Diceros bicornis minor: one gene and its partners. The protein of the gene in region 2 interacts with the protein of the main gene of each other region in a biochemical or structural test. Links are inferred from orthologs where the notes say so. Each region holds a gene or a part of one and is shown on either strand. Other genes may lie near its edges.

The links.
Region 1: of the proteins of H1-5 (region 2) and PRKCD, one has a biochemical effect on the other in vitro, tested with the Homo sapiens proteins (2 studies listed by BioGRID). The link is inferred for Diceros bicornis minor from reciprocal best matches to the Homo sapiens genes H1-5 and PRKCD.
Region 3: of the proteins of H1-5 (region 2) and CCNB1, one has a biochemical effect on the other in vitro, tested with the Homo sapiens proteins (2 studies listed by BioGRID). The link is inferred for Diceros bicornis minor from reciprocal best matches to the Homo sapiens genes H1-5 and CCNB1.

What each region holds. Positions count from the first base shown.
Region 1 is NC_080741.1:53,719,004-53,729,396, reverse strand, and holds the start of PRKCD (protein kinase C delta type), read right to left. Parts: upstream 4,128-10,393; 5' UTR 3,964-4,127; intron 1-3,963.
Region 2 is NC_080753.1:39,363,989-39,372,725, reverse strand, and holds H1-5 (histone H1.5), read right to left. Parts: upstream 2,212-8,737; 5' UTR 2,182-2,211; coding exon 1,501-2,181; 3' UTR 1,442-1,500; downstream 1-1,441. Other genes in the region: histone H2A type 1, read left to right, coding at 1-374; uncharacterized protein LOC131413346, read right to left, coding at 5,506-5,508, 5,729-6,167, 6,908-7,214. UniProt on the Homo sapiens protein: Histone H1 protein binds to linker DNA between nucleosomes forming the macromolecular structure known as the chromatin fiber. Histones H1 are necessary for the condensation of nucleosome chains into higher-order structured fibers.
Region 3 is NC_080759.1:8,348,582-8,359,047, forward strand, and holds the start of CCNB1 (G2/mitotic-specific cyclin-B1), read right to left. Parts: upstream 4,128-10,466; 5' UTR 4,016-4,127; coding exon 3,995-4,015; exon of another isoform or gene 3,956-3,994; intron 3,404-3,955; coding exon 3,233-3,403; intron 3,142-3,232; coding exon 2,983-3,141; intron 1,345-2,982; coding exon 1,162-1,344; intron 1-1,161. UniProt on the Homo sapiens protein: Essential for the control of the cell cycle at the G2/M (mitosis) transition.

The sequences.
Region 1 (10,393 bases), on a different chromosome or scaffold from region 2:
CCCCAGACCTTGGAGCTCCAAGGCCAAAGCCTTCCCTAGGCCAGAAGCCAGTTCCAGGCAGGGAGCTCTCAGAGGACAAACTGCTGCCCCCTCTGGATGCCCAGGCACCATACGCAGACCAAAGACTCTGCATGTCCCCCCGACTCGACCCAGACCCAGGACAGAAAAGGAAGAGCCCAAAGAGGAAGGCCACCCCTGTACATTGTCCATCCGTCCATCTGTCTAAGAGGACCCAGTCTTCTCCTTAGTTCTGGCTCCTGCTGCCACCACTACCACGCAACACCCATGAGGATAAGTAGGCCTGCCACCCTCATCTGGGCCAGTTCCCGGCAGACCTGCAGGAACAAGAGAAAAGAGCTGAGCCGAGAGGCGCCACCAAACAGGCTTTCCCCATCAGTGAGCCCCAGCACGGCCGACACAGGCCCGGCTCAGCCTCTTCTGGTTCTGACACCTTTGCCTCTTTGGACTCGCTTTCTCTTCTGTGAAACGAGGTGTTGGGCCTAACTTTTCCAGGCACTGGCTATGTGTCCACTCCATGCTAGGGGTTGCAATATTGTGTCTCAGCCCTCCTCCTCTTTCCAGGTTGGTGGGGAGGACTGCAGACACAGCAAGAAAGCTGTTCCTAATCCTCCTGTCTCCAGGAGAATGCCCTGTGGGCTTGAGAGACCTATAGTACAACTGGGTACCACCACTTTGTGGCCTGGGCAACTCCTGTGAGCCTCAGTTTGTCTCATCTTTAAAATGGGGACGGGGCCAGCCCGGTGGCGTAGCAGTTAAGTTCATGCGTTCTGCTTCGGCAGCCCAGGGTTCACAGGTTCAGATCCTGGGCACGGACCTACTCACCATTCATCAAGCCATGCTGAGGCAACATCCCATATAGAAGAGCTACAACTCTACAACTATGATACACAACTATGTACTGGGGCTTTGGGGAGAAAAAAAGAAAAAGGAAAAAGAGGAAGATTGGTAACAGATGTTAGCACATGGCCAATCTTCCTCAAAATAAACAAACAAACAAAAATAAAAATAAATAAAATGGGGAGAATACATCTCCCCAGGTGGTTCCAAGGCTCCAATGATGTGGCATGCCAGCTCCTGTGCTGACCTCACATTGGGAGTGCCAAATGAATAGAAACACTTTTTTTTGTTCCTTGTTTTGCACCGTCTATTTGAGGTGATTCTCACATTACTAGATGTACCCATTATATAGCTGAAAAAACTGAGGCCCAGAGAGATCCTGGAAGGAAGGAAGGGCACCAAAGGCAGCAAGGTGCCCCAGGTCTCCTGGCTAAAAGGCCTGAGCACTTTTTCTGCAGGTCAGGCCAGGCCTCCACAAGAGTCCCCTCCCCAGACGTGAGCCCCTCCTCCAGCTGAAGACCCCCATCACCGTTCCCTGGGAGCTGAGGCACCCTCAGGCTTTATCTTTTTGTCTGTATTTTAAATTATCTCTAATTTTAATTTAAACTCCAATTAGCTGTGCCAGCTAAACGGTGTCAGGGCCCTGCAGTCCGCAGTCACAGCTCCAAATCAATCACCCCTCAAGACTCTCTCCCCCATCACTGCTGCTGAGACTGGGTGGGGGGTTGTCATGTGCGCTGAACAGGGCTGGATGTTGGTGGGGTCTCTGTCAGCCATCTTCCCTCCTACAAGCAGTCTGGTCAAGGGGACGGGAGGGAGCAAGAGACATCGCAGGCAGGAAATTGGGTTGGGGACTATCTGGGCTTTTATTAGCCCTAGCTCCCAGGAGAATCGGGACTACACTGTTGAGGGGGGTGGTGAGTGGTCACCAAATAAGACTTAGCATGTGCTGAGCTCTCATTGGACCAACGCTGTGCTAAAGGACTTTCAACATAGGACCTCTAGTCCTCACAACAACTTTCTCCATTCTACAGATAAAGGAACAGCCTTAAAGAGGCCTCGCTCCGGTCTCTTACTCTCGATAGGCAGAGCAAGTATTTGAGCCCAAGTCTTTCCTGGGTCCAGAGCCCCAGGTCTTGGTCACAATGCTACAAACCCCAAGACTTGCCCTCCAGTGTCTATCAATTTGGGGGAGAAGAGGAACGTGAGAGATGGAAGCCTCCCTGTCTCCCCAGGAGCCAGGGCTGGGCTTGAGTGTGCTGAGTGCACACCCATACCCTCACAGCCTCCCAAGCGCTCACACACACACTGAGGCTCTCACCTTCCCTCCCAGCACCCCAGGGCACAGGCACCACATACCTTGTTGCATCCCCTCCTTGTACTGACACCCACGCACAAGCACTCTCGGTTCCCACAATCACAGTTACTCCCCTGAACACACCGGCAGTTTCATACAGTCAGACCGTGAGTCTCCCATCAGTCATCCACTCCCCAGCCACAGTCCATCACACACCAAATCCTGTACCTACAACTAGGTACCGCTGTCCAAACACCTCCACAACACACACACACACACACAACACAGCTGCCCTCTGCCGGCCTGTCCACCACACCCCAGCTCAGTCCACAGCAGGAACGAGGAAACCCAAGGGACTAGTCCTCTCCCTCAGTGACCAGGTCAGCCTGGTCACAGCAGTTCAGTGGCAGCAGGAGAGGAAGAACATGTGAGTGCACACACATACACACACTCATACAGACACACACACACGAGCCTGGTGGGCTGGCACCCTAACACCACGAGGTCCCACAGTTAACAGCTTGAATGTACTCACAGCCAGTGGGTCACCATTACATACTCAGTGTGCAACAGAGGATCTTCCAAACACACACACTTATACACACACCCTGATACATTGAGGGGAGTCTGGTGACAAAAGAACACAGCAAGACATAGTACACACATAATTGTAAAGGGCACACAGAGCCTCAGGACGCCCAGACAGACATACGAACATACACACGGGCAAGTCACACATGTGAAAAAGGGCACACAGGGGCAAGTCCCAGACACAGTGACAAAGAACACACAAGGAGACAGAGACACAACATGTCTACACGCCCAGATACGGCGACTCAGCACAAGGAGACAGCGTCCATGCACACAAGGTAGGGGCCACAGGAAAAGGGGTCTCAGTGCCGCTCTCCCCTCCCTGACAAGGCCAAATGGGGCAGGCAGTTAGGGAAGCGCAGCAATTCCGACGTTGCCCACCTCCTGCCTCTTCACCCAGTTCTCCTCCACTCCTTCCGTCCCCCTGGCTGGGCCCCCATGGGGGGGGGGCGTCTGGACTGCGGAGAGGCCAGGGACAGAGGGGACCAGGAAGGGGCCACCAGGGGAGGGGGCTCACAGGAGCGTAGGGGTGGGGCGGGAGAGGGAGTGTAGAGACTGGAGCCACGCCCAGCCCGGAGACTGATGGAGAGAAAGACCGAGAGAGACACCGAGACTGAAAGAAGAGATCCAGCGAGGAGGCGGCGCCGCGCGGGCTGGGCCGGGCAGGGACCCAGGGGCGGGAGGTGAGGCCAGGCGGGCGGCCTGGCCTCGGCCCGGCGGTAGAAAAGGAGACGCGGCGGGACAGGCAGGGGGCGGCGAGCGTGGGCCGGGCGCGGCTCCGAGAGGACAGGATCTAGGGGGCGGCGGGACGTGAGGTGGGGGTGGAGCGACGGGCTCGTGGAGGGCGAAGGACAGACAGATCGGGACTAGGGAGAGGCGACGGGGGAACATAGACGGGGTGGGGACAGATGGACGGATAGAGGGGCCCAGAGATTTGGAGGGATGGGCGGACCCTCGGAGGAGCTGAGGACACACAGGCGGGTAGAGGGGCCAGGAGCAGACGGATGAGAGGGCCACTGCCCCTACCGTTGAACCGAGGGACAGACGGACGAATAGGGGCACGGAGGCACCGGCGGGTCTCGGCGCGCGGTAGGACTTTCGCTGGCCGCGACTCAGTTTCTCAGTTTCGGAAACGGGAACCGGAGCAGAGGAGGAAGGGGGGGCGGCGCGCCCTCGGGGTAGCCCCGATCTCACGTCCGGGCCCGGCTCTCACTCACCTCCCGGCGCAGGGCCAGGCGCCAGTGGTCGCGGCGGCTGGGGTCCGGCTCCGGGCGCGGTTCCGGGGCGCGCGCGCGGACGGGGGTCGGTGCGGGCCCGACCGGGACGGGCCCGGCGGCCGGTGAAGTGCGCCCGGGCCTCGGCGCGGCGGGCGGATGCCGGGGGTCGCTCGGGGATCCCGGCGCCGCCGCCTCCCGCTCCCGCGCCGCTGCACACGGAAGTGCAAGGGGGCGGGGCGGCGGGACCTCGCCCAGGTGCCGGGCTGGCCCCTCCCCGCTCAGCACCCGCCCCCACGAGGGCCCGCCCCCCCAAGGCCCCTCCTCCACCAGCCAGGAGCGGGGGGTCCAGTGTCCCCGCTTCACTGTTTCGGGTCACTCAGGGTCGGGGCCTCTGCCCTTCCCTGCAGATCTCGCCCCCCGCCCGCCATTAGCGCGCGCACCAGCCCTCAGAAGGGGCCCCATTTTACAGAGGAGGACGCTGAGGCCCGGCGGGGGGCGCTCTCCCACCCCACTCCTCGCACACGGAGGCCAGGGAGGTGTTGGCGGGGGTTCCCCAGCTTCCAACGCCCACGCCCGGGACTCCCCACCGGCCAGCTGGTCTGCCTTGCCCGGCCTCGCTCTCTCTCTTCCTGTTGGCTGGAATGCGGACTTGGCCGGGCTCGGTGCCTGCCGCCAGGCCGGCTGGTCCCGCCCCTGCCCCGAAGACGAGCTGGGAAGACTCCAGGGCGGGAGGTTCTCGCTGGTCCGCCGCTGCTGGTCAGGAGATTCTGGGAGCAGCCCCTACCCGGATCCCCCAGTCTTCCGCTGTCCTGCCCCCACTTTCCAGAGTTCCCCATCGCCCCTGGCTGGCACCTGGGCGTCCTTTCCAGACTTGGAAGTTGGTTGTCAGACATAACTCATTCATTCATTCATTCATTTTCTGGGTATCCTCTGGGCCTAAGGTCTAGGGATGGAGTGGGGCCCAGGGAGTCCACTCCCTTGCCCCCAAAGCTCAGAAAGCCAAGCCGATGGCTCCATACTCCAAAGAAATGTCACTTTCCAGAGGCAAAGAAGGGGGTTCCAGGTCCCAGGCCTCCTGGGGGGCCACCTAGAGGGGATGGGGAGAGTCTGACAGCTCTTCCCAGCTGAGGCCTAAGGGATGGAAATGGGGGACCAACCCCTGAGGAGGCCTGAGTTGATCAAGGGGCCCATGGCAGAGACAGGCCATGGCTAAGACTTTGGTCTTCTCAAGGAGCAGGTGGTGGCCACTGTTACAACAGAGTGGGCTCCTGGGGGAATGGATGAGGCAGAGGGGCTGCAGAAGGGAGGGGGTGGATGGGGGCAGAGGGGTGCCACATTGTTCAGAAGGGAGGACCCTGGGTTGTGGGAGATGGGCGGGGAGAAGGGCCCAGACCAGGTATGTTATAGGGCTGCAGTGTGTGTGTGGGAGGGGGTGTCCAGTGAGACCTCTATGGATGGAGAGCTCTGGCAGAGATGTGGATCCTGAAATTCTTTTTCAAGTGTGAGGAGGGGTGGGTGTCTGGGCTGGAAAGAGAAAAGCTATAATCATTCTTCCCACCACAGGTACCCTACACTCAGGAAGGAGGACCTAGTTTGAAAACTGGTTAATGTCCAGATTCCCAGCCTTGACGCCTGTCCCCTACCCCAATGGGGCAGGCTCTTTCCACCAAGCTGGAGCCCTCTTGCCACACTGGACTATCATTTGGGAAATAGGCCTTAGACCTTACTCCTCACAACCAGACTTTTGAACATGCTGTTCCCTGGACCTGAATGCCATTTCCCACCCACCCCCACATCTCTACCTGTCTTGGTTGTGTCCACTCAAATGCTACTCCTTCCTGATGCCCAGCTGGAAATCCATGGCATTTCTCTGAGCTAATGGACTATATTCGTTAGTGTGTTTTGTGTCCTAGTCCCACCCCTACCCCCACACCATGGCTTCCCTGGGGCTAGGCTGGAGGAAAGGGTGAGCAAAGTGAGCTTCAAGTGACCTTTGCCCACCTGAGATCAAGTTTCCTTTCTGATTCCTCCATCCAGGTCCACAGTAGCCAACCTAACCTCTCCCTTAACATCAACAATAGGCCCACGCTGTGCCAGAGGCCGCTGGAGGGAGGGTAAGTGGGGGCTGACCCTTGGGGAGCTCCAAGTCCAGTCACTAGAACTTGGCTCCCACACCCTGAGGTTCACCTTGAAAAGTGGAAAAGAAGGATAATGGCTATCACTGAGGGAGTTTCCCCAGTGCCAGGCCCTGTGCTGGGTACTGGAAGTGTGCAATCTGATAATTCCTCAAGACCCTGTAAGGTGAGGACCACTATTTGTGCCACTTTTGGTGATGAGCAAACTGAGTCTCAAAGGTAGGTGAAGCCACTTGCCCAAGGGTACACAATTAGTAAATGGCAGAGGCAGGATACAAACTGAGGTCTGCCTGGCTCCAAAGCCCATGTTTTACAACAGGACTTCTCAATCTCAGCACTACTGACCTTTGGGCCAGATCATTCTTTGTTGTGGGGGCTGTCCTGTGTATTGTCGGATGTTTAGCAGCATCCTTGGCCTCTACCCACTAGATGCCAGTAGCACTCCCCTCCCTCAAGTTGTGACAGATAAAAATGTCTCCAGACACAGCCAAATGTTCCCTTTGGGGCAAAATCACCCCTTGCAGAAAACCACTGCTTTAGAGCAGGGCTGGTGTTGCAGGAGCAAGAAGGATTTAAGTTAGACACCAGGAAGCACTTTCCGGCCCTCAGGATTATGCAGGCTCAGGAGCTCAGAGGCTGCAAGCACATATTGGCCTCAGCCAATCTTTTGCCTCTGGAGACTCCAAGGTGAAGCATGATACACTCAGAGAGGAGCAGAGGGGCTGAGGCTGTGCAGGCCACACTGTGGCAAGAGCAGAGGAGGGATGTGAGTGGGGTTCCCTCCAGAGACAGGCCCTGCGACGGGGGTTCCAGGCAGAATAGGCTTGTGTGGGGTCCAGGGAGTACAGGCCAAGCTCAGCTAGAGCCACTCTGCATGCTGGAACTGCTCCTGGGTGGGCCAGGGCAGGATCCAGATAAGCTTGCCTCTGTGCTCCCACAACCTGCCTGGCACTGACCTTAGAAGGGCCTGCTGAAGCCTGGGAGCAAGCCTTGGCTGTGTCACATGCTAACTGTATCACCCTGGGCAGGTAACCACACCTCCCTGATCCTGAGTCCTTACGAGTGAAAGGGGCTGATGACAGACCCATGCTGGGGATTGAGTAAGGGTTAGGTGAGATGATGTGCGTGGAGCCTCAGCCAGCATGGACACCTGGTGAGGGCTCAGCTCACTCTGGCCAGGGGGTAGGGGTATGGTCGTTTGCAGAGTCACAGGCTGTCAGCCTTGGAAAAACCTTCAATGGCATTTTGTGACATGGGGTATAAATCCCCAATCAGGGCTGAGCCTATAGCAGCCATGCAGAAGCGATACTTTCCCTTCTTCCTCCTCCAGGTTTGCAGTCAAGGAAATGGGCCCATCAGGGGTAGCACTGGGCAGTGTCCAGACTCCTACTCTCAGCATCCACCCAGGGCTGTTCCTCTGTGGGCTCCCTGGAGGGTTTGTCTAGAGGAGGGCCAGCCTGACCCCTGCAGCTCCTACCCTACTCAGAGGCCATGAAAGCTGGGGGCCCCAAGACCTCTCCAGAGGAAGTCCAGCACTCAGCCAAGCAACCTGGAAAAGGCCTGGACCTTCTTCTGTCCCTGGGGCCTGTCCAGCTGAGGGCAGGATCGGGTCACCTACTTGATCCCTGCTGAGAGTTGGTCCTTGTCCTGGCCTCTCTGCCTCTGGCTCCCTCTCTGTTTTTGCTTCTCTGTATCACCATCCATGGCCCTGAAGCTTTGGCTGCCAGTGTCAGCCCATCACACCCAGAGCCCTGGCCTGGCCAAGGGAGAGTGGGCTCATGTTTCTGGAGCAGGAGGCCCAAGCCAGCAGGGATGGTGCGCCTGGGCAACTGCTGGGTATGGCAGAGCTTGGGAGGGTCCTGTTGGGGATAGTGTAGGTAAGAAGGGCATTTGGGATATGGTCCAAACCCGCAGGCACGCCTCAGGCCACCAACGTGGTCCTGAGCAGGGATTTCAGCCTCCAGCACTGGGTAGTGCGTAAGTGAGGGCAGTGGCGTTGGGGGCAGTGCCACATGGTAGGAAAGTGTGACGTAGGGCTGGAGGGGCCAGGTTCACACCCAGGCTGTGCCCTGGACCTGTGACTTAACTGTGCCTCAGCTTTCTCATCTGTGGAATGGAGACAATAACAGTAACATTGGTCTGGTAGGTGGTTGAGAGGATGGAAGAGATCATGTATGTGAAGTACTAGGAGCAAAGCTCAATCTATGTTGATGTTAACTGCCACACAGAGTTGATGAGGCTGGGCTAATAGTCCCAAAGTTCTATCCTCAATATATTTGTGTTTGGGTGAAACCTGAGAAATACTTGGGGTAGACAGGAGAAGGTGCTTTCTGGGAGTGCAGAGAGCAAGGCTTTCCTGGGGTTCTCACAGGGGTATGCAGCCCCTGGACTGCCCCCATCCTACACTGACCACCGCGCAACCCCCTCATCTGAATCTCCTCTTCCGGCTCCTCGACCCTACTGCCCTCTAAAGGGGTGTGGAGGGGAGGGCGTTGGTGTTGTCAGAGGCAGGCACAGAGCGACAGCTATCTCCTGGCACAGACACCCAGGGGAGCCCCTCCCATCACTACCTCCCCCTCCCTAATCCCCCACACGCAAGAGCACCCCCTCTGCTCTGATCTGCCAGGTCTCACACAGGCTCTGACACCTGGGGGAGTCCGAGAGTCTCAGTCACCCAGAGGGCAGGGAGAGCCGCGGGCCTCACCAGCCCTCTCGCCTGCCCATGCCTCAGTCTCCCTCCGCAGCGGGCAGCTCACCGAGCGCAGCTTGGCCCGTGGGAAACAGGGGGAAGGGGCGGAAGGGGCGACCCCGAGCTGGAGGGCAGCACCTCGAGGTGAGGAGGGTACGAAGGACAGCAGGCACACCACAGTCCACCGTGCCGCACACACGCCCCGCTCCCCACCCCGGCAGACGCGCCGCGCCGCGCCCCGCCCCGCCCACGGCGGCCTCGCGCACACGCCCCCGCAGGCACGTCTCCGGCGTTCCGGTACCGAGGGGCGTGTGGCCCCGCCCCGCCCCAGGGAAACCTTTCTGAGCCGGGAGCGGAGGCGCCCGCGCAGCCACGTGACGCAAGCCCGGCTATAAGAGACCCGGCTCTATTCCCGTGTCGGGAAGCTGTCTGGACGGTGCAGATGCGCTGCTGGTTCCGCCTGGGGGCCAAGTGGTGCCTTCTCCTCTTCGCCCTTCCCTGCTGCTGGTTGTGTCCAGAAAAGTCAGGGAGACTTGAGCACGCCCATTTCATGGATGGCTCTACTGAGTTCTTTGGTGTGGGAGTCATCCAAGGTACCGCAGCCTGCCCCCCATCTGGGAACCTCTGAGAAGACCGTGAGGACAGGGGGCTGGATCAGGGATGGGAAGGGAGAGTCACAGAAACCTAGAACAGTAATGACACACATTGGGTGTTGTGATGAAAAACACAGCAAATAAGGAAAATAAAGACAAATTTACAGAGGAAAGTAGAAAGCTCCCATAATTGCACGGATAATTTCATCTCCCCAGATAGACTTACCCCCACACTGTCACTGTATTTTAGAAATTGTTTTGGTGGAGGGTTCAGTCAGGGCAGGCTTTCTGAAGGAGGTGGCTATCAGGACATGGCAGAGCAGTCTGGGGCTGGGACCCCTTAATCATTTTGTTCTGGGACCGGGATGGGGGATCCTAGGCTCCTGACCCAGACTTTACCCAGGGTTTGCCAATAACTGTTGGCAGGGTTGTGAACAGGGGCAGTGGGCAGTGCCTGGAGAGAAGTGGTTGAGCCAGTTGGACCAGCAGAACCTGAGTAAGGTGCCCTCACAGCCAGCACTCTCCATCCCAGGTCCTCGGGGGGTATAAAAGGCCCTGCAGCACCAGGACACACCTGCCAACCCACCACCATGCCCCCTCCTCCCCCATGCTGCTCATCAACGCCCCCGCCTCTGCTCCGGCTGTGCTTTGCTCCTGGAATGCCATTCCCTCAAGCTCTTAGCCATCTAACAAGGCCCTCCTCCAGGGAGCCTCCCAGATGCCTGCCCCTAACCAAGGAGGTTCTCTGCTTCCATGAGCCCGCCCCTCAACTCTACCCCACCCCCAACCTGGGCTGTTCAGGGCCTCTCCTGAGGCACCGACCACATGGTACAGAGGTGCCAGAGTGGGGAGAACATGCTAACTGGCTGTGTGACCTTGAGCAAGTGCCAGCCCTCTCTGAGCTTCAATGTCCTCATGTGTAAAATCCTCACCCCTTGGGGCTGCTCTGAGGGTAGATTGAAATGTTGGGTGCAGAGGGCCCAGCACTAGAAACAGGCAACTGGTCTGTTCAT
Region 2 (8,737 bases):
AGGGCGGCAAGGCTCGCGCCAAGGCCAAGACCCGCTCTTCGCGGGCCGGGCTGCAGTTCCCCGTGGGCCGCGTGCACCGCCTGCTCCGCAAGGGCAACTATGCCGAGCGGGTGGGGGCCGGCGCGCCGGTGTACCTGGCGGCGGTGCTGGAGTACCTGACGGCCGAGATCCTGGAGCTGGCGGGCAACGCGGCCCGCGACAACAAGAAGACGCGCATCATCCCGCGCCACCTGCAGCTGGCCATCCGCAACGACGAGGAGCTCAACAAGCTGCTGGGCAAAGTCACCATCGCGCAGGGCGGCGTCCTGCCCAACATCCAGGCTGTGCTGCTGCCCAAGAAGACCGAGAGCCATCACAAGGCCAAGGGCAAGTAAGCCCTCAATATCAACTTCTTCCAACCCAAAGGCTCTTTTCAGAGCCACCTACTATTTCCGTGGAAGAGCTTGGACAATAGTTTCACTTAATCTCGTCACTGTCGACTGAGAAAAGGAAACAGTTTCATTTAGAACGAATCTGGCAAGCAGTTTTAGGAAGTGATTTTTCAGGTTCAGATTTTAAATGCCATATTAACATTCTTGGATCTCTCCTAGTCATGTCCCTGGGGTGTCAAGAAAAAGTCAGGAGCTTTAGTGGGCATATAAAAGTACAGTATCAGTTACTGAAATGAGTAAACGTTGCTAAAATGGCCCCTGAAGACAATACATCCTTTCTGAGCTAATTTCTGTCAACTTTGTCTCACCCAATGTTATACTGTATTTGGAGGTTTTGCCTTATCTTGATTTCTGCAATAGATTTTGAGAGTCAAGTAAAAATATGACCATAAGCAGTAAGTCATGTTTTGTTGAGCTTGCTATTTGTGTGAACTTCATATTACTTTAGTCTATGTAAATATACTTTTAAAATCTTAAATGAATGACACCACGCATGTACGATCCTGAACTTGCTCCTCTTCTCTTCTGGTTAGGTCTGTGGCTTGTGAATGCTGCCTATACTGCCAATCGATCAAATAAAGTAGTGTACTAACTGGCATGTAGGTGGCGCGTGAACCGGAATTAAACTTCCCGTCGAGCGAGTAAAAAGAATTGACCAATCGGAACGTGCGCGGGCTTTTTAAAATTCTAACCCCTTCCTTGTCGTAAGTAAGCAACCAGAATCAAAAGCTCCGAAAAGCCGATGCTGAGCCATCTATTCAAGATACGATTCCCCGGAGTTTTTTTACAGGGTGGTGGCACACGTAGGGGCCCTTAACTCCCCTTGCTTTAGTAAGCTTTGCTGAGTATGACATTAACTGTAACTTGACGGTTTCGCTTTAAAGTTTTAAACAGAAAAGCTGAAAACGTAAACAAGACTTTAGTAAATATACTGTTGCACGGCTCTCATGGAGGTTGGTCGGGAAGGCAACAATGATGGTAAGTTATTCAGTGCACAGCCATTTTCGGAGATCTCTGGGTGGCTCTGAAAAGAGCCTTTGGGGTTCTGTCGTTTTTAAACGCCGACTACCTACTTCTTTTTGGGAGCTGCCTTCTTCGCCTTCGCAGCTTTGGGCTTTGCTGCCTTGGGCTTGGTGGCTTTGGGTTTGGCCGCCTTCGGCTTCACTGCCTTGGGCTTGGCGGGGCTCTTGGCAGCCTTCTTCGGCTTGGCGGCAGCTTTGGCCTTCTTGGGACTCTTGGCCACTTTTTTGACGCCAGCGGCCGCGGGCTTCTTGGCCTTCTTGGGAGTCTTCTTCACGGCTTTCTTCGCTCCCGCAGTCTTCTTGGGCTTTTTAGGAGTGGCCCCTGCAGGCTTCTTGCCTTTGGCTGCCCCCGCCTTCTTAGCCTTGGGCTTAGCTTCACCAGAAGCCGCTTTTTTGTTGAGCTTAAAGGACCCCGAAGCACCGGTACCCTTGGTCTGCACCAGAGTGCCCTTGCTCACCAGGCTCCTGAGACCCAACTTGATGCGGCTGTTGTTCTTCTCAACGTCGTAGCCACCAGCCGCGAGCGCCTTCTTGAGTGCAGCCAAAGACAGGCCATTGCGTTCTTTAGAAGCAGCCACAGCCTTAGTGATCAGCTCAGAGACTGGGGGCCCGGTAGCCTTGCGCTTAGCCGCGCCACCGCTCCCGGACTTCTTGGTTGCCTTCTTCTTGGCAGGAGACTTCTCCACTGGCGCCGGGGCAGCCGTCTCAGCAGGAGCGGTTTCCGACATAGTGATGAAAGTACCTACTAAAGAAAGAGAAACTCAAAATGCAAAGAGCAAGGTTTGCAATGCTGTCTTGCTGGGGCCCGGGGCTTATATAAGCCGGTGCTGCCCTCTGATTGGTGGAGCGTCCAATCCACCTCCCTCGGGCAGCCGCCTCTCCCGGTTGGACTCTCAAATTGTGTTTGTTAGTCCCCAAAATTTGATTAAATGCTGAAAACAATAGTACAGAATTTGACGCTTTGATGCTCCAAGAGAGGAAAACAGCCTTCGGGTTTACGTATTTGTTTGTGTTTTCATAAATCACGCACAATTGATGAAAGATATATTTAAAAATCCCTTAGGCTTTTCATATGAATCCACCCGGCTTAAATCATCCTGCTACTTAGTTGCATGTTGCAATAAATTTTTACTAAGTATCAAGTTAACGTTTTTTAAAAAGATTTGTTCCTAAATTCAGCCTTTGATTTTTGCAGGAGGAAAGACACTAGGTTCCTTGGTTTGGACATAAACTTTGTTTCAAACTGTAGCAAGTAACACAGGCGTAGGGTGGCTGGTTGCCTACAGCCCCAAATTAAGCACATGGACCTTACTTTAAAAACCGGTTCTGCCTCCTAGGAGTTTCCACATGCCAATGCCTTTAGAGAATGGTATTTTGCAGCTTGGAAAAGTTCAATTGCCAGAGTGACTTCTTCCACCTTGCTCCAAGAGGAATAGAAATTGCTTTGGCTTCAGGATCCGTCGACTTGGATTCAAATTCAAACTTAAATTTGGTACATTTTTTATTGAGATGCTTTCTCTCTTTGATTCCTAAGTGAACCCATTAAAATAAGGACGGAAAATGCTTAGCCCAGATAATGTCCTTTAGAAAAATCTCTGAAACCTGCTTCCAGTAGCCCTCAGGAGCACAAACTGTTTAGATGAATGGGACTTGGTCAGGTTTTCGAGGTGCTCTTCCCAATGCTCTCACTCAAACTCCTTACCTCCATCAACATTTACCAAATTGCATCCTCAGGAATACCCTCTTTTGTAAGCAGCCAGAAGACATCAATGTGGGTATTTTTTGTGTGTTTAAGTGAAGATAGACGTGTATTTTAGAAAAATAATTGGCTACTTGACTATAAGAAGGGTAGATTGGGTATTGAGGGACAGGAGGTTATAGAGGTTCTGAAGAATTCAGGAAAATATTAACATCCAAAGGAGTTCAGGCAATGACCATGAGTTGGAATGGAGAGTGAGGTTTGCTATTTATTTGAGGGTGGGGTGGAGAATGGACAGGATTTTGTGCCTGGATGGTAAGAGATCAGGTAATGGTTATGATCTCTAATGCAGTCAACAGTCAATGCTTCCCTGTGAAAAACTGTGTTAGCCAACACACTTCATCTTCTCTCCAGGAGCTCTTGGATTTGAAAATTCAGTCAACTATGGCCAAATCTGGACAATGACTTGTTTTTGTATGGCCCTCAGGCTAAGAGTGGTTTTTATATTTTAAAATTGTGTTAGGGGCCGGCCCCGTGGCTTACCCTTTAAGCGCACCCACTCCGCTACTGGCAGCCCGGTTCGGATCCTGGGCGCGCACCGACGCACCGCTTGTGCCGCCATGCTGGGCCGCGTCCCACATACAGCAACTAGAAGGATGTGCGACTATGACATAGAACTATCTACTGGGGCTTTGGGGGAAAAAATAAAAAAATAAAATAAAAAATTAAAATTGTGTTAGAAAAGAAAAATGCGATGAAGACCATATGTCTCCTGCAAAACCTAAATAAACTATTTACTAACTCTCTGGCCCTTTTGCTGTGTTTTGAACTCCTCCACATAGACGCAGTTCATGGTATATTGCTACAAGCTTGCCTCTTTCAGAACAATGCAAATCGAGAACTAAAAGAAAAGATTTTAACAGGAAAATGTTCTGAACAAGCATTTCCACTGTTTTTATCACAAAACTTTCAGAAGATCCAGAGGAAAAAACCTTCCATGTTTAAGCAGCAGGAGAGGGTGATAACTTTAAGAGCTAATATTCATTGAGCATTTACTAAGTACCAGGAACTAATCTAAGATACTCTACAGGTTTTAATTTGTCACATCATACAGCTGGACAAGCTGAGTCCCAGAAAGAGGATGAGTAATTTACCAAAAATTATACAGCTAGTACTTGGCAGCTCTGAGTTTGAACCTAGACCACTTGGCTTCATCTCCATTATGATGGGGAGATCCTGGAAGGGGTGCAGAGAGAGAATAATCTTTGAAGTTTGGAAGAGGCAGCATCAAATCGTCCTTACACCTAGCAGGAAGCCAAAAAAGGAGCGCTAAATTAATCTGTAGGGAGAGGCTTCTGGCTCCATGGATCAGAACCGTTTTTGCTGAATCAATTCCAAAAAGCTTTAGAAGGAGCCAGTGATGAAATATAAGCCTCTCTGGAAGGGCAAATACAAAAATAGGGGAAAGAAAGGAAGGCTCAGATGGCTGACCTGCCTTCGAACACTCAGGAGAAAAATTGCCTTCACTTAACTCCGCTAGCTCCTGGAGTTAGGATGTGTACCCAAAAGCGTAAACAGAAAAATAAGGCAATGATAGTCGTACATGAGGAGACTTTTTAAAAAGCTGAAAACATTGGACAACATTAATAAGGAGTCAAGTTTGGAAACAAGGAACAACTTCAAAATGACATCTCACCTTTAATTTCCAGTCTGATTCTCTATTTGGAAAAACAAAACAAAACATGAACATCCAATTTATAGACTGACAGGCAGATTTTGAAAATACTTGAGCAAATTTTTTTTTAGATTTTTACAGCTATTGGGAGCTCATTTTACAGATGACAGCCTGCAAGTCAAAGTGTCCAGGCCTTTGTGGGCCCACTGTTTTCCACACATAATCACATACATGCAAAGCCCCTAACATATGCCTTTGTTAAACATTACAAAAGAGCAACAGAAAAGCTAGCAAGTTTCTAAACACTCATGACGATACTTGTTCTATTCCTTCGTGTCACAGGAAAGCAAATTAAGAGGCATATTTCTTAGGTCATCCCAGGAATCCTTGGCAAAATTAAGCTGTATTTGCCATTTGCACAACTATCCACAGTAATTTGAACTAAACTTTTCTAAGGCATAAGCCAGTCTTGCTTCGGTTACTACATGTAGCCAAGGGTGTTTCTGAAATGCTTGTATCATTTTAAGAATGCCTATCCAGAAACAGCTCCTCACTGCGCAGAGTACAAGCAAGGTGTTCCCGTGGAATCAAGTTGTTGGGTTTACAGAATACACAGTCACCTCTCCAGCCTGTAGACCAATCTCCCAACTGAGCCCACAATAACTATTTCGTCGAAACGCTCTGCACTCTTTTCATATAGTGCTACCATATATTCTGTAGAACAGCTCCCTTTTGGTGACAACGGAGGGGCTCTGAAAAGAGCCTTTTGGGGTAGAGTTCCCTTTGGGGTAGAGTATGTCAGGTGGAACACTAGCAAGTTTAAGCTCTTTCCCCGCGGATGCGGCGCGCGAGTTGGATGTCCTTGGGCATGATGGTGACGCGCTTGGCGTGGATGGCGCACAGGTTGGTGTCCTCGAAGAGCCCCACCAGGTAGGCCTCGCACGCCTCCTGCAGCGCCATCACGGCCGAGCTCTGGAAGCGCAGGTCGGTCTTGAAGTCCTGCGCGATCTCGCGCACCAGGCGCTGGAAGGGCAGCTTGCGGATCAGCAGCTCGGTGGACTTCTGGTAGCGGCGGATCTCGCGCAGCGCCACCGTGCCGGGCCGGTAGCGGTGGGGCTTCTTCACGCCGCCGGTGGCCGGCGCGCTCTTGCGGGCCGCCTTGGTAGCCAGCTGCTTGCGGGGCGCCTTGCCGCCGGTGGACTTGCGAGCTGTCTGCTTGGTGCGAGCCATAGCTAAGCAGAGCCAACTACTTAACACTAATGAGAGCAAGAAGCAGTCGTCCCAGTATTTATAACGACCCTCGCGTTCTGATTCGACAGCAGACTGCTGCCCCGCCCCGCCTCGCCCTCAGAATTGGCTCTTGGTTTAATTCGCTAAGGAAAGGAAGTGTTTTCCCGCCTCTCCTTCAGTTTTTAAGATAATGTACAGAGAAAATGTCTTACTGGCTTTTTAAAAAGCCTCTAGGATGCATCAAAATTCTCAAGAAAATGTTGTCTTCAGAATGCGAAAGTACCTTGCACTATTTTAAGTAAAAGGCTTCATGATTGCATCCTTGGCAAAAAATCTTTACTGAATAACATGAAAGGGAACCGAGAATACGTTAAATGTTAAGTACTGAAGCGGGGTTTGAAATTCTAGCCACTATGGGCTATGCCAGTGTTCTCAAACTTCACCGTGCTTAGGAATCAACGAGCTCGTTAAAACAAAGGTCAGCCAACTCTTTAAAGGTCAGTTTACTGTCTTTGCCATTGTAGTGCGAATGCAGTAGACAGTAAATAGATGAGTCCGACTTTCAATCTTTGTTGTAACAGGTAGCGCCTATTTAATAATGGCCGGATGATCTGCCATTTTACTAGGTGATGGAGATGCTGATGGGGGGGAGGCGGCTACCAAAGCAGCTAGGAATGTTTTAGGGACCTTACTGTTCAAGATGCTACATTTCCCAAAAAACTAATCTGACGCTTGCAGCTGCTTAGCATACAGTGCTACTGAAAGATGCCTACAGCTCTTTAACAGATTTTGTGGGTGGCCCTGAGAAGGACCTTTGAGTGATGGAATAACGTATTAAGACAAATCTAGCCGCCGAAACCGTAGAGGGTGCGGCCCTGGCGCTTGAGCGCGTAGACCACGTCCATGGCGGTGACCGTCTTGCGCTTGGCGTGCTCGGTGTAGGTGACGGCGTCCCGGATCACGTTCTCCAGGAAGACCTTGAGCACCCCGCGGGTCTCCTCGTAGATGAGGCCGGAGATGCGCTTGACGCCGCCACGCCGGGCCAGGCGCCGAATGGCGGGCTTGGTGATGCCCTGGATGTTGTCGCGCAGGACCTTGCGGTGGCGCTTGGCGCCGCCTTTGCCCAGACCCTTCCCGCCTTTGCCACGGCCAGACATGCCTGCGACTCGAGCAGATGCAATCCGCCAACCCTCCGCGGCAGTGGTTTATATAGTGTTGTGTCGGACCTGTTTGAGAACTGCGCTTGCCAGCTGTATCCGCCCAGTGGAGTCACAGACCCGAAGCCCTGCCCACGTTTTCGCGAAAAATGGAAAGGGCGGTGCTTAAACTCTGGTCTAAAATCACGCCTAACTAAAAATGCCTCAGTCCTACTTCTCCTCCCACAGTGTTTTGCGTCTCCCACCGCTGAAAGCCGTTCCTTTGTCTGGGTCAGGCTTTGCTGTCTGTTTTTTTTTTTCTGTCACCTCTTAGAATCGATCGCACTAGCGCCTTGTGGCTGGTGGACGCGAATCGCCCATTTCGAGCTGTGATTACAGTCATTTGGGGGCATTTGTGAAACCTTCTCGTACATAAAGTGCCTTCGGGTAGTCTCAATTTAATCAGCCTGAGAAGCGGCTGACTGCAGTTAACGCCGCCAGATTATAGACAGCTTCGAGGTGGGGTTCCTCACCTTTCTCAACTTGGGTTTTCTCCTCTTTTCCTTACCTTTTACTCATCCTATCGGCTACCTTTCCCTTCCCTCCCTCGCTGGCACATTTTTGGGGGAGAACTGGCTTTTTCAAATTTCCTTCATCAGGCTTGGAAACTTTAGGAAGTCGTTTGAGGAAGAAGGTCAGCTTTACTCGCCATTTCCTTGGCGAGTCGATGAGCCGGTGAAAACGCCTTTCAGCGCCCCCTCCTCTTCCCCCTTCCCTCCTTTGTTGGACTGGGAAATCAACACCAGAAACCCTGTGCCTTTCATTTACAACTAAAGTGCAGAATGTAGAGACCAGGAAGGACTCTATTCCAGGAAAAGAAACTCTGAAAGACGGAGTGACAGACGGTTTCCATGACTCCAGCTGTTTGGAATGACCTCCTTCTGGCCCTGGCTTGTCCCAGGTATCAGATTCCGTTTCTTCCGGGAAACTTGGACAGCCTTCTCCCACCCACATCCACCTTTCTCTTTTCCCGAGCGTCAGTAATGTTTACCCTTTCTATTTCAAATTGTGTGATTGATTATTTACTCCTTGAACAAATGTCTAATTTTATTCTAGGAATCAGTTTCCAAGTTCTTTATAAACTCCTCTATGGTTACTGTAGGTGCAAAACATTACCTGCCTATGTTCTATGGGTTAGTCTATTTTTTTATTGCGCTTCTAGTCTGGCCTCTTTTTCTCTCCGTGTGTAATAATGGCATCTGAGTGCTTAACCTTGAAAGTGTAAACCCGGTATCTGCTGGTGGAATAATCTCAGCAATCCTCTTGCCTTGCAACTAAGGAAAAACCAGGGGGCATTCTGCCTCATGCTAGCAGCTGTTCTTGAATATGTTCTTTTAGGAGCAATCTTTTCAAGACAAAGTCTTGAAACACTGAGAAAACTTATCAGTGCTCCTTTATCTGGTGACGGTAACATACTCTGAAAGATCTGTAATTTGGTTTGGTTGCTTTGACAATGCTTTGCCCTGGAAAGGATATTTATGTTC
Region 3 (10,466 bases), on a different chromosome or scaffold from region 2:
GTGGAGCATTTAGAATCTCTAATAGTTCTAAGCTTAATTATTCATATGGTCACTATAAACAGCTCTATCACTGAGGAAGAAAGCCAACATTAAATAGGAAAATGTGACAGGTTTTTCATATTGGCAAATCTATGTTCAATTAACCATCACTGCTACTGGCCCACACGCCGCACTCACTTCTTCCCAAATAAAGATGCCATACTATCATCTCAGATCTTTTCACTTAAGACTCTAAACCCAGAACCTGAGCTTTATGAAGTAGAGAAAATAGCAGCAGCTCCCAGATCAGCTGGAACCTAATGTGTTACCACTCTCCTGCTCCAGGGTTTAAACCCCAAAAACACCACAGATAGAGAAGAATGAACCATCAAGGACCAGCACATACATCTGCTAAGCCCACTCCTCCACAGTTAGAACACAAACTTTAAAAAGGGAGAAGAAACCCAAAGCAGGTCCTGGCAAAGAAGTCTTCTTGCAGGACAATCCTGTAGAAAATGGAGATCCCCAAAAGAACCAGGCAAGAAACTGAAGATGTTAATGATGCCAAGAGAAGAGAATGCATTATAAACCAACAATTGGGTCAATTTAGTAACTGTATAGCTCATGTTGTTAGCATACAGAATGCTTCCTTAGTTTTGGGGGGAAAGGGCAAATGCCACTAATAGAAAGTTTCAGAAGTGGGATGAAATGGAAGAAAATTCCTCTTGGACACAAACAACAATTTCCCTGATATGGCACACCCATCAGCCACATTCACTCAAAATGCCATGTGTTGGGGTTGGCTGTAATTTTTCAGCATCTTCTGCACTACCATCCACCTCCTGCCTGTTAGCCTTCTTAAACCCAATGTTTGGGACTTGCTGGCTCCTAACTGTGATGGATATAAATATATCCTTCAATCTGCGGACTTTCCATTACAAAGAGCCATAGTAGTATCTGCTCTCACTTGGAAATCTCCCTGTTCAAAATGGAAAATAAAGACTTCATTGGTCTGTTTAGCAACTTTTTATGTTTGGTATTCTATGAAGGAGATTTTGAAAGTGAAATCTACTGTTAAGAAATGCTGCTCACGTCATCCTTGAACTATTGTAAACTGTTAATGGAAATATCTTTAATAAAGCTAGGTGCACTTTAGAAAAAACAAAGACTAATAATACTGACCTCAAGTTGTCTCAGATAAGCATAGATATCTTTCACATATTCACTACAAAGGTTTGGATCGGCTCCATCTTCTGCATCCACATCATTCACTGCAAGAATTACATCAGAGAAAGCCTGACACAGATATTCTTCTGCAGGGGCACATCCAGATGTTTCCATTGGGCTTGGAGAGGGAGTATCAACCTTGAAACAGAGAGACCTTCTGAAATAATAGCAAGAGCATCCAATCTGGGCATGAAGGTCAGATTACTGGTACCAACTCAAGAGACCATCTGCTGAACAGACATGTAATTCATTTCCTTAATGGAAAAGGATCTTCTTTTCAAATGTATTCAATTTCTCTTTAGGAAGTGATTAATATGAAAACTGAAATGCCAACTTAGACTGAGCCAATTTGAAGAGAACAGAACCTAAACACTAACAGGTAAAACAGAGAAGCAAATTCATATTCTAGACTTTCCTCCAAAGGAAACTGATAAGTAGTTAATCTGTTTATCAGCAACATGTGAAGTTAATCCAAAGGAATGACAAGTCAGTCTTTAGACTTTCTGTGAAAACATGGACTGCTTCTCACTGCTCAGGAGAACATAAGTTCTACCAAGGATTAACTGACTTCATCACCATTAACCATTTTCTTCAAGCTCCAGTCACCCCATTGTTCAAACATTTATGGAACACTTTCTTCAAGTCAAGCTCTGTGCTAGGCACTGGCTTTATGGTGTCCTCAAGGGGCTTTGAATTTAGAAGAAATAAGTAAATGAAGTAAGGAGACTGATTCTAGGAACAAGGGTGGGGTTGGGGGAAGTTAGGGAGTTTCAGGAATTGATGCTTGAGCTGTTTTGCAGGATGCAAAGGTTATTAGCTAAAAGAGACAGAAGGTGGGAAAGGCATTTTTAATAAGTGGGAAAGCCAAGGCAAGAATCAGTATGGGACTTTCAAGGAAACCTCAGGTGGTTTGGTATGGCCAATTAAAGACTGCATGCTACAGGTTTCATGTGCTATGTCCAGAAGGTCAATACTAAAGCAATAGCCTCAAATCTCCTACCCTCAGATATAAGGAGCTAGGCTGAATGACTTTTACAGATATTTTCCCAAGAAGTTTTAACTAAGTTTTTAAAATTAGAGCTTCAGAATGTAGTTCACTGCAACTTCAGCAAAGTAGCCTCTTTTAGATGGTCTGATTTTCCTTCACAGGAGTAGATATATTTACATACCTGATAGTTAATAAAAAGTTCTTAGTTTTTGAGGCTACACATTAACTCATCTTCTTACCTGTTCTCTGAAGAGCTACACTTTCTTTCTGCTTTACATCTTTATATATTGCAATGTTACAGGCTTATTAATTATTCAGTGGTCATATTAGGGAGAAAAAAAGATTCAAGAGAATAATTTGTGTTTCAGTCAACAAATATTGGACAGTGATGGCTTGTACCAAAGACAGCAAAATCACTGGTCCAGGCAGCTACTACTCAATACCATTAACGAAGGAGGGGCAATAGAACAAAACGATTAAAAGCACAGGTTCTGAGGCCAGACAGCCAGGTTTTGAATCCAATATGTGCCACTGATTAGATGTGTGACCCTTGAAAAGATACTTAATACTTTTCTAAACCACTATCTAAAAAAAGTAGAGGTAATAATACTAGGTAAGAGAGTATAAGATTATGTCAATGCATGTAAGGCCCTTAGCAGAAACTACCTCCTGCTAAGCACTGGATAAATGTTACAATTTTTAGTATTTATTTAAATGCTATTCCATGCATTAGTAAAACGAGGGGCAACAAACAATCAACAGATTCTAAACTGGCACAATAAGTTTACCAAAATAGGCTCGGGAGAATGTTTTTCTTCTTTAACAGGCTCAGGTTCGGGTTCTGGCTCAGGCTCGGGCTCCGGCTCTGGCACAGGCACGGGCGCCTTTTCCAGTGGTTTTGGTAGTTTTTTAGCAATAACTTTTCCAGCAGTTAAAGTTTTTGCTTCCTGTGGATGAAAAGGAGAGAATGGAATGTTCCTCCATCAAGAGTCACAGTTAGAAGGTGGACTCAGGTAAGTTGAATCGGGAGATAGTTACCTTTTTCAGAGGCAGTCTGGCCTGCGGCTGCTCACTCACTTTGTTACCTATGTCTCCAAGAGCTGTTCTTGGCCTCAGCCCGGGCTTGGAGGCTGCAGCAGTTGCCACAGGCACGCGCTTTGCGCCTGCCATACTGACCTTCGCCTTGTTTTCAGTATTAATTTTCGTGTTCTGAAAGAAGCAAGAGCACTTTGAGAGCTGGCCCAGCCAGGTTAGAGTGAGTCAAGGGTTAATTAAGGTGGGACAAGAGAGAGGCTCTCGGAAGGAAAGGCGGCTGCAAATGGGTCCAAGGGAAACCGGGGTCCCAGGGTCTACGCTATGGCTGTGACAAGTTAGTTTCCTCCCAGAACTTCTTCTTTCACCCATCGAGGTTTAGTCCCCGCCGGCCCTAAAATACCACGAATTTACATCTGAAAGAAAACCGAAAAACCTTCAACTGCAGGCACCTTCGTTCCGGGAAGGGGGTTAAGCAATCGGTGGGAGCTCACTCAGGGGCCCTGGTTTCCCGTCAACCCTCCACTTGCCTCCCCAACATTTATCCAAGGCCCGTCCAGTTCTCTTTCTCACCTTCCTCTCTCTGTCCGTACGTCCCCCAAACTCCCCCACCATGCCAGAGGCCCACCGACCCCCCTCCACCTCCCCAGATCGCTGCCTGGGTCCGCTCCTGCCGAGGGCGGGGGGGAGCCTCCGGAAGGCGAGATAGGGCGAGGACACGCAGCGCACCAGTAAGGCCGCGTTTGTTCACCGTCCGCAGCAGCTCACCCTGGTGACCCGGAGCGCCATGGCTTCCTCTTCACCAGGCAGCAGCTCAGTGGGGAGAAGCAGAGCAACGGAGCCCCCGACGAGCCAGGAACCTGAACCCACCACCGACCAACAGCCGTTCCTGCGCAGCACGCCAGGAGGAGCCGGGCCGGCCTCAGGTTTAAACCCCGCGCCGCTCCCTCCTTATTGGGCTGTTCGCGGCACTCGCTCCCTTCCCATTGGCGGCTGCCGGTTCCTGCGAGAATGCGTTTCCATGGAGATCCCGCGAAGTGGTTCGAGAGGGGGCCGGGCCAGAGCGAGGCTGCGGCCCCGGGGAGCCTGGCCAGGCCCTCACGTGGCCTGGCTCTGCGCCTGCGCTCTCGCGCAGCTGCTGCTGGCACCTGGATAGGCGAGTGGTGCGCGTGTGGGCCTCCTGGAGAGGCAAGTTTGTGTGCCCCCCGAGCTAGCCAAGGGGACGGCCTTGTATCTCGGGAAAGTGACAGTGGAGCAGCCGCAGTTTGTGAAAGTGAGAACGTGTTATGGCTCTAGTCCTACTTATTGTTACACACTTTACTACAGAGGAAAGGCTTTTATATATGTACCTTCTTTCGTTTGATCATTCCAACACTCGGGTGGAGGAACTGAAGCTCGGAGAGGCTTTGGGTGGCTTTCCCAAGATCACACATTAGTAACACAGGGACCAAACTTAGGTTTGTTTTTTTTTTCCGGATCTGTGATATTTCCACAACACTAATTGTCTCAAGAATATTGTCAGGTTCTTAACCTGCCAGATTACTTCTCAAATTGTTTACCAAAGCCAATCTTTTTGTTTTAGCTTTTTATTTGAAAATAATTTCGAACTTAGACTTGGTGGTCAGGGATGGTCTGAGAAGGTGACATTTAAATTGAGGCTTAAATGACAAGGAGAACATTTCGGATAGAGGAAGGAGTCTGTGAAAACCCAATGATAGGAATGAGCTTGTCATGTTCAGAAAAGCCAGTGTGGCTTGAATATAGGGCAGAGGGGAGAGTAGAGATGAGATTAAAGAGATTGGAGAGGGTAATATTATATAAGTCCTTGTAGACCAAGCTAAGGGGTCTGGGGTATCATAAGTGCAGTGGAAGCCACGTTCAGGGTTTTAAGCCAAGGTGTGGCATAATCTGTTTTGCAAAAAGATTACCTTAGTCATTGTGGAGAGAATGTGTGTAGGTGGGGAGGTGGAGGGGAAGCAGGAGGAGAGAAGCAAGGGGAGCCATTAAGAGGCTATTGTGGGAGGCCAGGCAAAAGATGATGGCTTGGATGGTACTAGTAGTGCTAGACAGAAAGGGATGGGTTCTGGATATATTTTGGAGGTAGACTTGCTGGATCTTGATGGTTTGCATGCTTGGAGTGAGCGAAAAAGGAATCAAGGATGACTGAAGTTTTGGCTTGAGTAACAAACAGAGAAGACTAAGAGATGAGCAGCTTTTAGGGGGTAGCAGGTTTAGATAGGAAATGATAAATTCTGCTACTTTTGGAATGCTTAGAGATATGCAAGAGGAGAGGTTCACTAGGCAGAGGTCAGGGTGAGAGCTAAAGCCTCCTTTTGCTCTAGATAGTATTTAAACCCTCACACACATGAGGTCATCTAGAGAACTGTAAAGAAGAGTAGATGCCCAGGAGCAACCCCTGGGGCCCTTCATATGTAAAGATTGTACAGAGCAGGAGAAGCCAGTTAAGAAAATTGGGCAAGAACACCAGAGAGGTGGGAGACCAAATAGTGGTGTCTCAGAAAAGGGAAGGCAGTGTTTCACAGAGGGTATAGTGGTTTAACATGGCAGATTGAATATGCACATTTCTCTCTCTCTCTTTTTCCTGAAGACAGTAAAGGGATTTAAAAAAAAACTGCAAAACTCTCAAGGATGGGTGAGGAGACAATACCGACAACATTTTGGAGGCAGGAAAGCACATTGAAGAATCGTAATAGAAGTATCAGACAGCCCAAGAAAGTTGAAATCTAAGCTAGCGGTGGAAAGCCAGGAAGCAAGCTGGTTCATGCAATAGACTCCATCGAGTCTCAGGAATTGGAGGCACCAGGAACCTATGAAATTGGTGTCGGTGGAGCTGGAAAGAGGCTTAGTCGATTCCCTCCTGCACATCTGCGCACAGTGAAAGTGCAGCCTCTTCCTGGTCCTGGCAGATGACTGGAGGTTTATTTTATGTTCTGGAGAGGCCAAACGAAAAGAACTCTGGAGTTCAGATGAAGTAAAATTCTTCATACCAAATGGTGAAACCTCCAGTTCTCTTCGCCCACTCAGTCCCCTAAATGCAGGCAGCTGAATTTATATCCTCCTAAATGAGACAAGAGCATGCTTCTCTGTGGAATGGACCAGCCCAAGAGAAAAGTCTTAAAAATATTGATGGTTAGAGTGTCCAGTGAAAAGGCTGAGTCACTCTTAAAGTGATGCTCAGTACTTGACATGCTTACAGACTGACACAGAGCTTCTAATCAATATTTTAGTGTCTTACTCTTAACTATTAATAGCCATCTAGGGAGCACCAGACATTTGAGGAAATCCTCCAACTTGAAAGAAAAAGACCAAAACAAACAAACATAAAAAGAAACTCCAAGGTAACAGGCAATTCTAAAAGTAGAAAGCTAAGAAATAAAAATAAGTTACCATCTATATCATCAGAGAAATAAAAGATAAGAATGCATCCAGAAGCAAGTTTAACAAAGAGCTCTAGGAGGGGCTGACCCAGTGGCATAGTGGTTAAGTTCGGTGCCCTCCACTTTGGGGGCCTGGGTTCACGGGTTTGGATCCGGGGTGTGGACCTATGCCACTTGTCAAGCCATGCTGTGGAGGCGACCCACATACAAAATGGAGGAGGATTGGCAACAGATGTTAACTCAGGGTGGATGTTCCTCACCAAAAAAAAAAAAAAAAGAGCTTTAGGAAATTAAAAATATGATAGCAAAAATTAAAAATGCAATAGCAAGTTTGGAAGAGAAAGTCAAGGAAATTTCCCAGAAAAAAGGCGAAAAGATGGACTATAGAAAAGATAAGAAAATTAGAGGATCATCCTACAAGGTCTGGTATACAACTAATAGGAGTTCCAGAAAAAAAGACCAGAGAAAATGCAGGGAGGAGATTATTAAAGAAATAATATAAGAAAACTTCCCAGAAGTGAACAACATGAGTTTTCCGAACTGCGTCTGAGTGCCCTGCACAATAAGTGAACAAAAGACTCATCCCATGGCACACTGTGCTGGCATATGACATTAAGAATAATGGGAAGACCCTAAAAGGAAACAAAATCAGCATACAAAGGATCCAGAATCAGAAAGGAATTGGACTTTCAACAGCAATGTTGAAAGCTAGAAGATTCTGAGGGAAAATGATTTTCAGTTTATAATTCTGTACCAAGCCAAACCACGAAACAACCATGAGGTAGAATAAAGGCATTTTCAGATTTACAAAGTCTAAAAAATTATCTCCTGTGTACCCTTTCTTAGGAAGTTATTGGAGTGTGTAGTCTCCCAAAACAAGGATGAAAATGAAAAAAGAGGAAGATGTGGGATCTAAGAAACAGTAGTTCCAACACAGAAGAGGGGCAAAGGAAATTGTCAAGACTTGGATGATCCTAGGCTGGCACCTTTCAGTAGGCATAGAGAGCAGTCAGTGCACGCTGGAGATTGACAGGGATGGTTGGCTCTAAGTGGGACATCGCCAAGCGAAACAATGAAGTTGATAAATTACCTGATGTATTTGAGCGTACTGAGAAGAGATTTACACTTCTGGTAGAGTTGGAGATAAATTAGTGATAGGCATAAAAAAACTAGGCAAATGAAAATAAACAAGGCAGTATTAAATCTGGAGCAAACTAAAAGTTGTTAAAAGAAAAAAGGGAAATGTAATCACAATAGGGTACATAGGGCACTATGGTAAATCATACAGTCACAGTAATGGAAACACTGAATACTGATTTAACCAAAAATTATGATTCAACTGTATTGAGAGAGTGGGGAGAGAGAGGGATATATATGAGTGTACATGTGTGCTGGTGGTGGTATAAAAGAGCTAAACCCTCATCTTCCATTGTAAGAAGTTAGTGGGTAATTTTTAAAACTGTATAACCAAAAAATAGCAGTATAAGGACATTATTGAGAATTATGACTGTAAACAGTGAATCACACAGTTAAAAGAATAGAAAATGGTTCCTTTTGGACAGCAGGAATGGGCTGCTGATCAGAGGTGTGCTGATTTTGTTATAAGATTTAAAGAACTAACTTAAAACTATGCACATATGTAACTGAAAAAAATGAAGTTAAAGATGGGGAGTGGTTGATTGTGTTGACTGAAAATCAGGGACATTCACACTAAAATGGAGATAGAAACAGGAGTTGAAAAAGAAGACCCAGGATATAGAGAAACATCGTGAAATAACTTCTTCAATCATATACACTGACTGTCCCATTTGTAGAGCTGGTATATACTTTAACCTCTTACCTCTGTTCCTTGAATTGTTGATGGTAGCTTTGCTGTTTTTTTTTTTTAGGTTTTAGATGCTACATCTAACAGTCAAGGAGGTTATACCATAAAGAGTAAGTCCTCCTCCACAACCAAAAATGTATTGAAGAGTTCTTGGGTATCCTTGAAGAACGTTCTATGTACACGTAAGAGTACATAGATTTCAAAAGAATCTTTAAATCTTTTTTTTGGTGTGTGAGGAAGATCAGCCCTGAGCTAACATCCTTGCCAATCCTCCTCTTTTTGCTGAGGAAGATTGGCCCTGAGGCCGAAATCCATGCCCATCGTCCTCTACTTTATATGGGACGTGGCCTCAGCATGGCCTGACAAGCGGTGCATTGGTGCGCACCCCGGATCCGAACCCGGGCCGCCAGCAGCGGAGTGTGCGCACTTAACTGCTATGCCAAGGGGCTGGCCCTTAAATCTTTTTTTTTTAAATTGTGAATAAATCAAGTTTATTCAATCAATAAATACTTTTTGAGCTTTAACTATGTTTTACACACTGTGCCTAGGGTTACCTGCTTTTAAGGTGCTCACATTCTTACAGATATGAAGATAAATTATTACAATATGATAACATTAGACAGAGTTCCTTCTCCCATCAGCCCTTTATTTTCTTCCCTTTTTCATCTCTTATGGGCAGGGTGACTTTGGTTAAGAGGACAAAGAACTTCATTAGCATCATAACTATTATAAGGACTTTTTGTTGCAGGTGATAAGAACCCAACTCCAACTGGATTACGTAACAAAGGAAATTTATTTGCTCCCAAAACTGACAAGTCCAAGGAGTACCTAGCTTGAGGCATGGTTGGCTCCAGGTATCAAGCAAAGGAGACTGTCTCTCCATCTCTTGCTGTGCTTTCTTCCTTTTGAAATTTAAGAATCTTTAAATCTTTAGAGGTGTATGTGTGTGGGCGTTGGGACATGCAAATTGGTTTACAGAGGTAAGAGTGTTAAAGAATTAGTACTTGAGAAGATAGTGAAAAACTGTTATATTTAGAATGTGGTCTGTATGTATTTAAATTTTTCTTGAATTGGCTCTCATGCAAAAACGTCTCCTCAGCACTGAGGCTCTATTTATTGTGATTAATTATAGCAGTCTAGCAAGGGGAACTTGGTTACAAAGCCTCATTTTAGTCCTCAAAGGACTTTCAGTTTGCAAAGTTAAGTGATGGCATGAAGATGGAGGCAGATAAAAGGGAAAGAAGAAGAGGAAGTGCAAGTAATAAAAGAGGAGGCCTGAGAGAAAGTGATGGAGAATGAGAGAGGGCTCATGCTAGTCCTGGAAGTTGGAGTAGGATTCTCTTCCACAATCCACTCCCAGGGTTACTCTGCACAATAGGCAGTCTTTGTGTAGTGAGTAGTCTTTCCAGAAGGCTGAGTAGCTTGAGACTCTAAAGACTGGAGCTGAGTAACATGGGGTACAGTACAGAGCAGAAACTTGAAAGCACAATTTAAGTCTTGCCTTGGTGCCCAACTGTACTTTACAGTCAGCTGTTTGGTGGAGTCAGAGGTGGGAGTAGATGAAAAGTGCCGTTGATCATCCAAAAACTCTGTGATGCTCCTAGCTGAGGAACCTGAAACTCAGAGTTTTAGCAGATTTGTCACATAGCCAGGATATGGACAAGTCAAGCTTCAAAATCATAGCTAAATCCACTGATTTTTCCTGATTAACAATGTATGCCCTCTCCTCCGTAAAGGTTTTTTGAATCTCCTAGGAGAAAGAGTTTTCTTCTGCTTCTGAACTCAGAACGATATTACATTTACTTTTCTCCCAGCATGTATCTCTTCATTCTTTTTTACATGTTTTTATATGCTCAGTAACGATTGCCTCCCTGTAAGGGCAGAGGCCATATCAGACCTCTTTGTTTCATCCACTGTTTTATATATATTAGGCATCTGTTGACTAAATAGGTGACTCTAATGGTTCCCTTGGATTAATTTAGGACTATTGCCTTGATTTCATAGGACTGCAAGGGAT